Linked DNA regions of Rattus norvegicus. The protein of the gene in region 1 purifies or fractionates together with the protein of each later gene. This does not show direct contact. Links are inferred from orthologs where the notes say so. Each region holds a gene or a part of one and is shown on either strand. Other genes may lie near its edges. The genes, in order: Map3k1 and Axin1.

What was found.
Region 2: the proteins of Map3k1 (region 1) and Axin1 purify together in Homo sapiens (affinity purification with western blotting; 5 studies listed by BioGRID and IntAct, with this or other methods). This does not show direct contact. The link is inferred for Rattus norvegicus from reciprocal best matches to the Homo sapiens genes MAP3K1 and AXIN1.

The regions. Positions count from the first base shown.
Region 1 is NC_086020.1:45,088,974-45,092,788, reverse strand, and holds part of Map3k1 (mitogen-activated protein kinase kinase kinase 1), read left to right. Parts: intron 1-102; coding exon 103-1,369; intron 1,370-1,652; coding exon 1,653-1,805; intron 1,806-2,717; coding exon 2,718-2,880; intron 2,881-3,815. UniProt on the Homo sapiens protein: Component of a protein kinase signal transduction cascade. Activates the ERK and JNK kinase pathways by phosphorylation of MAP2K1 and MAP2K4. May phosphorylate the MAPK8/JNK1 kinase.
Region 2 is NC_086028.1:15,716,253-15,720,067, forward strand, and holds part of Axin1 (axin-1), read left to right. Parts: intron 1-936; coding exon of another isoform or gene 937-1,044; intron 1,045-2,201; coding exon 2,202-2,369; intron 2,370-2,978; coding exon 2,979-3,105; 3' UTR 3,106-3,815. UniProt on the Homo sapiens protein: Component of the beta-catenin destruction complex required for regulating CTNNB1 levels through phosphorylation and ubiquitination, and modulating Wnt-signaling.

The DNA.
Region 1 (3,815 bases):
GTTTTTGTGTACAGGGCAGGCTATAAATTGCCTTTTTAAAACCGTGCATTTATTTCTGGTACTTTGAGCTCTTGTAGTAACTGAAGGTGTTTCTCCTTTCAGGTATAAGAAGCTGCTGTCCCTCTTAGCCTTTGCCTTGCAATCCATTGACAATTCCCACTCTATGGTCGGCAAACTCTCGCGGAGGATTTATCTGAGCTCAGCACGAATGGTGACCACAGTGCCCGCCCTGTTTTCCAAGCTGGTAACCATGCTAAGTGCTTCTGGATCCTCCCACTTCGCCAGGATGCGCCGGCGTCTGATGGCCATTGCAGACGAGGTAGAAATTGCCGAGGTCATCCAGCTGGGTTCGGAAGACACTTTGGATGGCCAGCAGGACAGCTCGCAGGCATTGGCCCCTCCCCGCTATCCAGAGAGCAGCTCCCTTGAGCACACAGCCCATGTAGAGAAAACTGGAAAAGGATTAAAAGCTACGAGACTGAGTGCCAGCTCAGAGGACATTTCTGACAGACTGGCTGGCGTTTCTGTAGGACTTCCTAGTTCAGCAACAACAGAACAACCAAAGCCAACAGTTCAAACAAAAGGCAGACCCCACAGTCAGTGTTTGAACTCCTCTCCTTTGTCTCCTCCTCAGTTAATGTTTCCAGCAATATCAGCCCCATGTTCATCTGCCCCGTCTGTCCCAGCTGGCTCTGTAACAGATGCTTCTAAGCATAGACCTCAGGCGTTTGTTCCCTGTAAAATACCCTCTGCGTCTCCCCAAACACAGCGCAAGTTTTCCCTACAGTTCCAGAGGACCTGCTCTGAGAACCGAGACTCAGAAAAACTCTCCCCAGTCTTTACTCAGTCGAGACCCCCACCCTCCAGTAACATACACAGGCCAAAGCCATCCCGACCCGTTCCGGGTAGCACAAGCAAACTAGGGGATGCCTCAAAGAACAGCATGACACTCGACCTGAACAGTGCTTCCCAGTGTGATGACAGCTTTGGCAGTGGCAGCAACAGTGGCGGCGCCGTCATACCCAGTGAGGAGACGGCATTCACCCCAGCAGAGGACAAGTGCAGGTTAGATGTCAACCCCGAGCTCAACTCCAGTATCGAGGACCTTCTTGAAGCATCTATGCCTTCAAGTGACACAACAGTCACTTTCAAGTCCGAAGTCGCCGTCCTCTCTCCTGAGAAGGCCGAAAGTGATGACACCTACAAAGATGACGTCAATCACAATCAAAAGTGCAAAGAGAAGATGGAGGCTGAGGAAGAGGAGGCGCTCGCGATTGCCATGGCAATGTCGGCTTCTCAGGACGCCCTCCCCATAGTCCCTCAGCTGCAGGTGGAAAATGGAGAGGATATCATCATCATCCAGCAGGATGTGAGTAGTCTTCACGGTCCTGGGAGCCCGTGCTGAAGTCTGCCGGGGACGGTGCTTCCGAGGGGGGGCGGATGTGAGCGTCCTTCTGCGCAATCACGTGACAACAACTCTGAGTCGTTGCAGTAGCGGTACTTAGCCGCTTCGAGACTTCTGGCCGGTTCTGAAATGATTGTCACTTACACAGTGTCCATTCATGGGTGGAGTGGGAACTAGAATAGTATTTCTCGGTCTAATTATATAGCATCTTGCTCTTCTAACAGCAAAACGATTCTTCAATTCACAGACACCAGAAACCCTACCAGGGCATACCAAAGCGAAGCAGCCCTACAGAGAAGACACCGAGTGGCTGAAAGGGCAGCAGATAGGCCTCGGAGCATTTTCTTCTTGTTACCAAGCACAGGATGTGGGCACTGGAACTTTAATGGCTGTGAAACAGGTCAGTATTGGGAGCACAGGGTGAGAGTGTTCACATTATGAAATGACATATATGCAGCTGTGAACTCAAAGGACGAAATGCCGGCATCTTAGAGCTTTGGTGGTAGAGGTGTTTGGTTTGGTTTTGGAAGCATCGTGTAGCCCAGCTGGCCTCGAACTTGGGACCTTCTTGCCTCTGCTTTCCTAGTGGTAGGATTACAAGATTTTGCCGCCACACTTGATAGTTTGGAAAAGCTTCAGAAGCAGCACAAACATGAACTCTTTTTAAGAGTTGAAGCTGGGGGCTGGAGAGATGGCTCAGTGGTTAGAGCACTGACTGCTCTTCCAGAGGACCTGAGTTCAATTCCCAACAACTGCATGGTGGCTCACAACCATCTGTAATGAAATCTGATGCCCTCTTCTGGTATCTGAAGACAGCCACAGTGTACCTCTATGTAACAAATAAATAAATGTTTAAGAGTTGAAGCTGGTCACTGTAAGGTCCTGAATGAAAATGGTCAGAGAGCTGGTAGGTCATTCCTGCCCTTCTCGCGTGCCGCCTAAAGACCCCCACTCTCTATAATGAGTTCACGCACTCGCTAGGATGCAGAAATGATGACTTCCCTCTTTAAAGTCATTGTTAGCCTGTCATTGGCTTTTCCCGTATTTACTGTTCTGTACAGTAAGAGTCTTGGCCGCAGCACCCTTACGCCATTTTCTGATCTGCTCACTGAGCTGTATTCTTCTTGTGTAGAGGGGTCTGGCTTGTGCTTCCCTGTTGAGTTGCTGCTTTTATAAAGCATGCTGCATCCCTGGAGTAAGTGCCATTTGCTGCAGTGTGTGAGGTAGTTTGGATTTGCCATTTTACGTCAGATTGGTTTGAAAACTTAGAACAGTAAAACCCAAGATCCTGTTAATGTGCTTATTAAAACAGGTGACCTACGTCAGAAACACATCTTCTGAGCAGGAGGAAGTGGTGGAAGCCTTGAGGGAAGAGATCAGGATGATGAGCCACCTCAACCATCCGAACATCATCAGGATGCTGGGGGCCACGTGCGAGAAGAGCAACTACAACCTCTTCATCGAGTGGATGGCGGGTACGTTCTGCTGGCACACAGCGTGCTGAGTGCCCCATTATAAATACCCTTGGGTATCTAAAAACAAACCACTCCTAATATACAGGCATACACAAAAAGTATTGTCTATATTTTAAATCTAGTAAATATTAAAATTTTTCCGCCTTGCTGTTTTGTTTTGCTGTGCCTGGAATCGAGCCCAGACCTTGTACATGCTAGGCAAGCCCCCTGCCACTGACCTTGTACATGCTAGGCAAGCCCCCTGCCACTGACCTTGTACATGCTAGGCAAGCCCCCTGCCACTGACCTTGTACATGCTAGGCAAGCCCCCTGCCACTGACCTTGTATATGCTAGGCAAGCCCCCTGCCAACTGACCTTGTATATGCTAGGCAAGCCCCCTGCCACCGAGCTGCATTCCCCAGCTCAGCAACTTTTCTTAGGAGTGGTTTTATGGCTTGGTGTATAAGAATCTTTTTTTCTTGGTCCGTTTAAATTCCATATTTCTCTTGATGGTCATCACTAATTGTATAGATTATGGTTTTGTAAGAAATGCTTCCAAAAGTGTGAAATAAAGTTACTAAGCAGGGCATGTGCCTTTGGGTAGTGCAGTGCACTCAAAGGCTGAGGCAGAAGGGTGCTTGGTCCAAGCCCAGCCTGAGCCGTAGGTGAGGATCTGTCTCAAACAGATCTAAATCAATTAAGGTATAGTTTGAAAACTTAACTTCAGAGGAAACAGCACTGAGACACAGAGTTAAACCTCATTCTCTTGAACATAGACTGGCTCACTTCTATATACTATGTAACAATGGCTCCAGATATGCCAGTCCTTGTGTGGTTTAAGAGTGCGTCTCTAGTTCATGCTTGTGTGTGCTCAGTGGTGTGACTGTGTGCGTGCAGATGTCTGGGACGGCGAGCGCCTCGGTCACTCTCCACCCTTTCTGAGACAGGATCTCTC
Region 2 (3,815 bases), on another chromosome or scaffold:
GGTTTATGTTTTGGGGTATGACACCACCACAACTATCACCATTACTCATGTGTGCGCTTGTACACACACACACACACACACACACACACACACACACACAGCACAACTATCACCATTACTCATGTGTGCACATGTACGCGCACACACGTGTACACACACACACACACACACACCAGCACAACTATCACCATTACTCATGTGTGCACATGTACGCGCACACACGTGTACACACACACACACACACACCAGCACAACTATCACCATTACTCATGTGTGCACATGTACGCGCACACACGTGTACACACACACACACACACACACACCCCAGATCTTAGCTGGTGCCTCCAAAATCTTCATTTGTGATAAAACTGATCATGTTAAATCTGTCGGTCTGGAACTGTGTAAGCAAGTGTAGACTTATGAAGTGAAAGTCCTAGGCGTTGGCAGGCCCTATTAAGATAGATCAAAGTAAAGTCACTATTAGGAACCCATAGTGGCATCACTCCAAGGTAGAGGGTTCACTTAGAAAGGCTCTGCTCAGACTCTGGGACATGCCTTAGTCACAGCAATAAGAATTCCCCAAGATATTGTACAGCAGAACCACTGCTACCGACCATATCAGATATCCACATCATCTTCAGGAAGCTTGTGCTAGAAACTGTAAGAAAGAGCCACATTTCTGTCCTGGCAGATCCTCTTTAAGACATCTGAACAAGGGGTGAAGTAACAGCTTATAGCATCTAGATCAGCAGTTCTCCAGAGTGTATTCCAAAGAACAGACTGACATTGACCCTGTGTCTAGATACCTATGGCAGGGCATCTGATAATATGTGAGTAGGAGTTTTTGACGGCGAGGTCCTGCTTCTCACCCTTTCTATGCCCATTGTCCACAACACTGGCTGAACCCCATCCTCTTTGATGCGGGTTGTTCCCTAGGTATGTGCAGGCAGTCATGCAGCGGGGACGCACCTGTGTCAGGCCAGCATGTGCACCGGTGCTGAGTGTGGTACCAGCCGTGTCGGACTTGGAACTCTCCGAGACAGAGTATGTGCGCCCTGTGGGTCCTCCTGGTTTTGCCCAGCCCAGCCCAGGCCAGACCAAATTCCAAAGTGGACCACCTATTTTGATAGGTTTTGTCACTGAGCCAGAAAACAGCAGGGCTGGAGAAAGACGTGCTGGGGCTTCTCCCTCTTGTCTCCCAATAAAGGAGATCATGCCTCTTCGTGGTGGTAACATGATCACTAGGTCCTACAGGTACCACAGCCTGCCTTTCATTTTGTCTTTGCTCTCCTGAGCTTCTCAGCGAGGTTCAGGGATTGGCAGGTCTACTATCTGGATCCTGGGACTTTGAGCCAGCTTTAAAGTAGGATCTGGACAGTGTGACTGCAGCCAGGACTTAGGCTGTGTGCCTCCTCTCCCATGGTCACATGTAGGTTAGGGACATGCCTGACTTCCTTCCTGTACTTTCATTCAATTAGGAGGATGAGCCCTGCTGCTGACCCAGTACACGTTCCATCCCAGTCATTGCATAAGAGAGGGTGTCATCAGAGCCTGTACTGGGGCCTCTGCAGGTGGCCCTCCTGAAGCCCATTGCAGGAAAAGTCCAAGAACCCAGACAGTCTCACAGCCTAAATGGCCCACTTGTGGCCATGGGTGAAGCCAGCTGTGGAAGCTTCTGGGTGATTGAAAGATACAGGAGCACAGGAGCATTGCCTGTCATCCAGACTTGGAACAGCCTCACAGCACTTTGAGGACCTGAGCAGGAAATAGCTCAGGTCTCTAGTCTACTTTGGAGATCCTGGCCATCCTGGGAACACTTCCCTTCCAGATCTGTACAGCACTGATTGGTCTATGGTCTATCCTTGAGACTTAGGGAAGTTTGGAGAGGTTGGAACTTGACAGGGCCTAGGAACCAACTCCCTTTATATCCTTGGAGATGGGACTTTGTGTGCCTGGCCTGGTCATGATCTGGTGGGGCGTGTGTTCTTAAAGCTAGACCTGTACTTCATTTCCCAGTGAGTGGTTCACACAGGACTGGCACCCAGATTTGGGTAGGTGGGTGGCAGGGCCTGTGAATACCACATTGGTGAATGAGGTGCTAACCCTGGGATATCTTGTCTTCTGCTGATAGATGGTACCTTTGAGGTACTCTCTGTGATATCACCCTGAGCCCACTACTTACCACTTTATTTCTGCCCCAGGACAAAATCACAAAGAAAGGCAGGTGGCGGGAGTGCACCACCATGTGACAGTATCGTTGTGGCCTACTATTTCTGTGGTGAACCAATACCCTACCGGACCCTGGTGAGGGGCCGTGCTGTCACCCTGGGCCAGTTCAAGGAGCTGCTAACCAAGAAGGGGAGCTACAGGTGAGAGAAGCTGAAGCCATTGAGCATATTTGCCCGCTATGCTATTGGTTTAGTGTCTAAAGGAAAAGCTTTCTGTTCCATTGGTCTTATCTTCCCCTTCACCCTACTCCTCTCAGCCATGGATGCTGCACACTGTTGTGTGGTGGCATCAGGCCCTGCCTCAGAGCCTGACTGGCCCTTTGTTCTAGCCTTAGACCTGTCTGTCCCTCCACGTCAGCCAACTTGGAAACTCCAACAGACAGACAGATTACTGCTCCCTGAGTGACATGAGAACCTGTCAAGCCTGCTGGAGTCAGCCCATGTAGATGGCAAAGCGGGGCCCGAGACCTCTGCTCTCTTTGCATAAGAAGCATGTCAAGACTGGGGCTCCCAGATTTTTCGTTTTGTTTTGTTTTTGCCAATTCCCAACATGCTGTAACTCAGCCCATCCGTGGTCCCAGCTCTACCCCAAGTGTTGCCACCGCCCAGCAGGCACCAACCAGGAGCCCCGCTTGATGTCTGGGGGAAGCCTGTACTCTAGGGTGGCTAGACTTCTAGGGGGTCAAGGACAAGCAGGCATCCCTCTCTTGGAGCAGGTTTCTCACTGTCTGCACACTTTTCTGTCCCTAGATACTACTTTAAGAAAGTGAGTGACGAGTTTGACTGTGGTGTGGTATTTGAGGAAGTACGGGAAGATGAGGCCATCCTGCCTGTCTTTGAAGAAAAGATCATCGGCAAGGTGGAAAAGGTGGACTGAGCCCTGGGCAGCACACCCAGAGCTACCATCACTACTGTGCAGTGGCATCCGCCAGGTGGGCAGCCTTGTCCTCAGGAGCTTGGTGTAGGGAACAACACAAGATTGTCACGAGCTCTTCCAGGGGATGAGGCTGGGGGCCTCAGATGTCTGCTAATTTCTATCCCTCTGGCTCTGGGAAAGTGGGGGTGGGAGGGTCATCCTACTGAGTGGTTCCATGGGTTTCTCTGTTTTGCTGTTCAAAGGGAAAGCCGCACCTACCCCCACACTACCCCTGAAGCAATACCAGGAGCCATCTCATGACCCTCAGCAGCTCTTGCTTCTAAATACAGTCTGACCTAGGGATACTTTGCCCTGGGCTTGTATCCTAGTGTCCTCTTCTCTCTCTGGGACCTATCCACTGCACCTCATTGGGCTCAGGTCCAGGAGCAGGGGATCCTGTGGGGGCCTCTGTATATTGTACATGTCACTGAGTGCCTTCAACATAGCTGTCTCTTGCCTGCCACTGTGTGAATCTGGCGGCTGAATATCTCAGGCCTCTTTGCCTGTCTCCAGCCACCAGCTTGGTTCAGCAGAGGGGGGGGGTCTGGTCCCTTCCAAGTGTCCATGTAAATATGTACATTTCTCAGGCCAGGGCCAGCAGGGGATACCCTGAGCCCGTTTTTCATGCGATGACTTGTACAATTATCTTTTCAAAGGTACTTGGATAATAA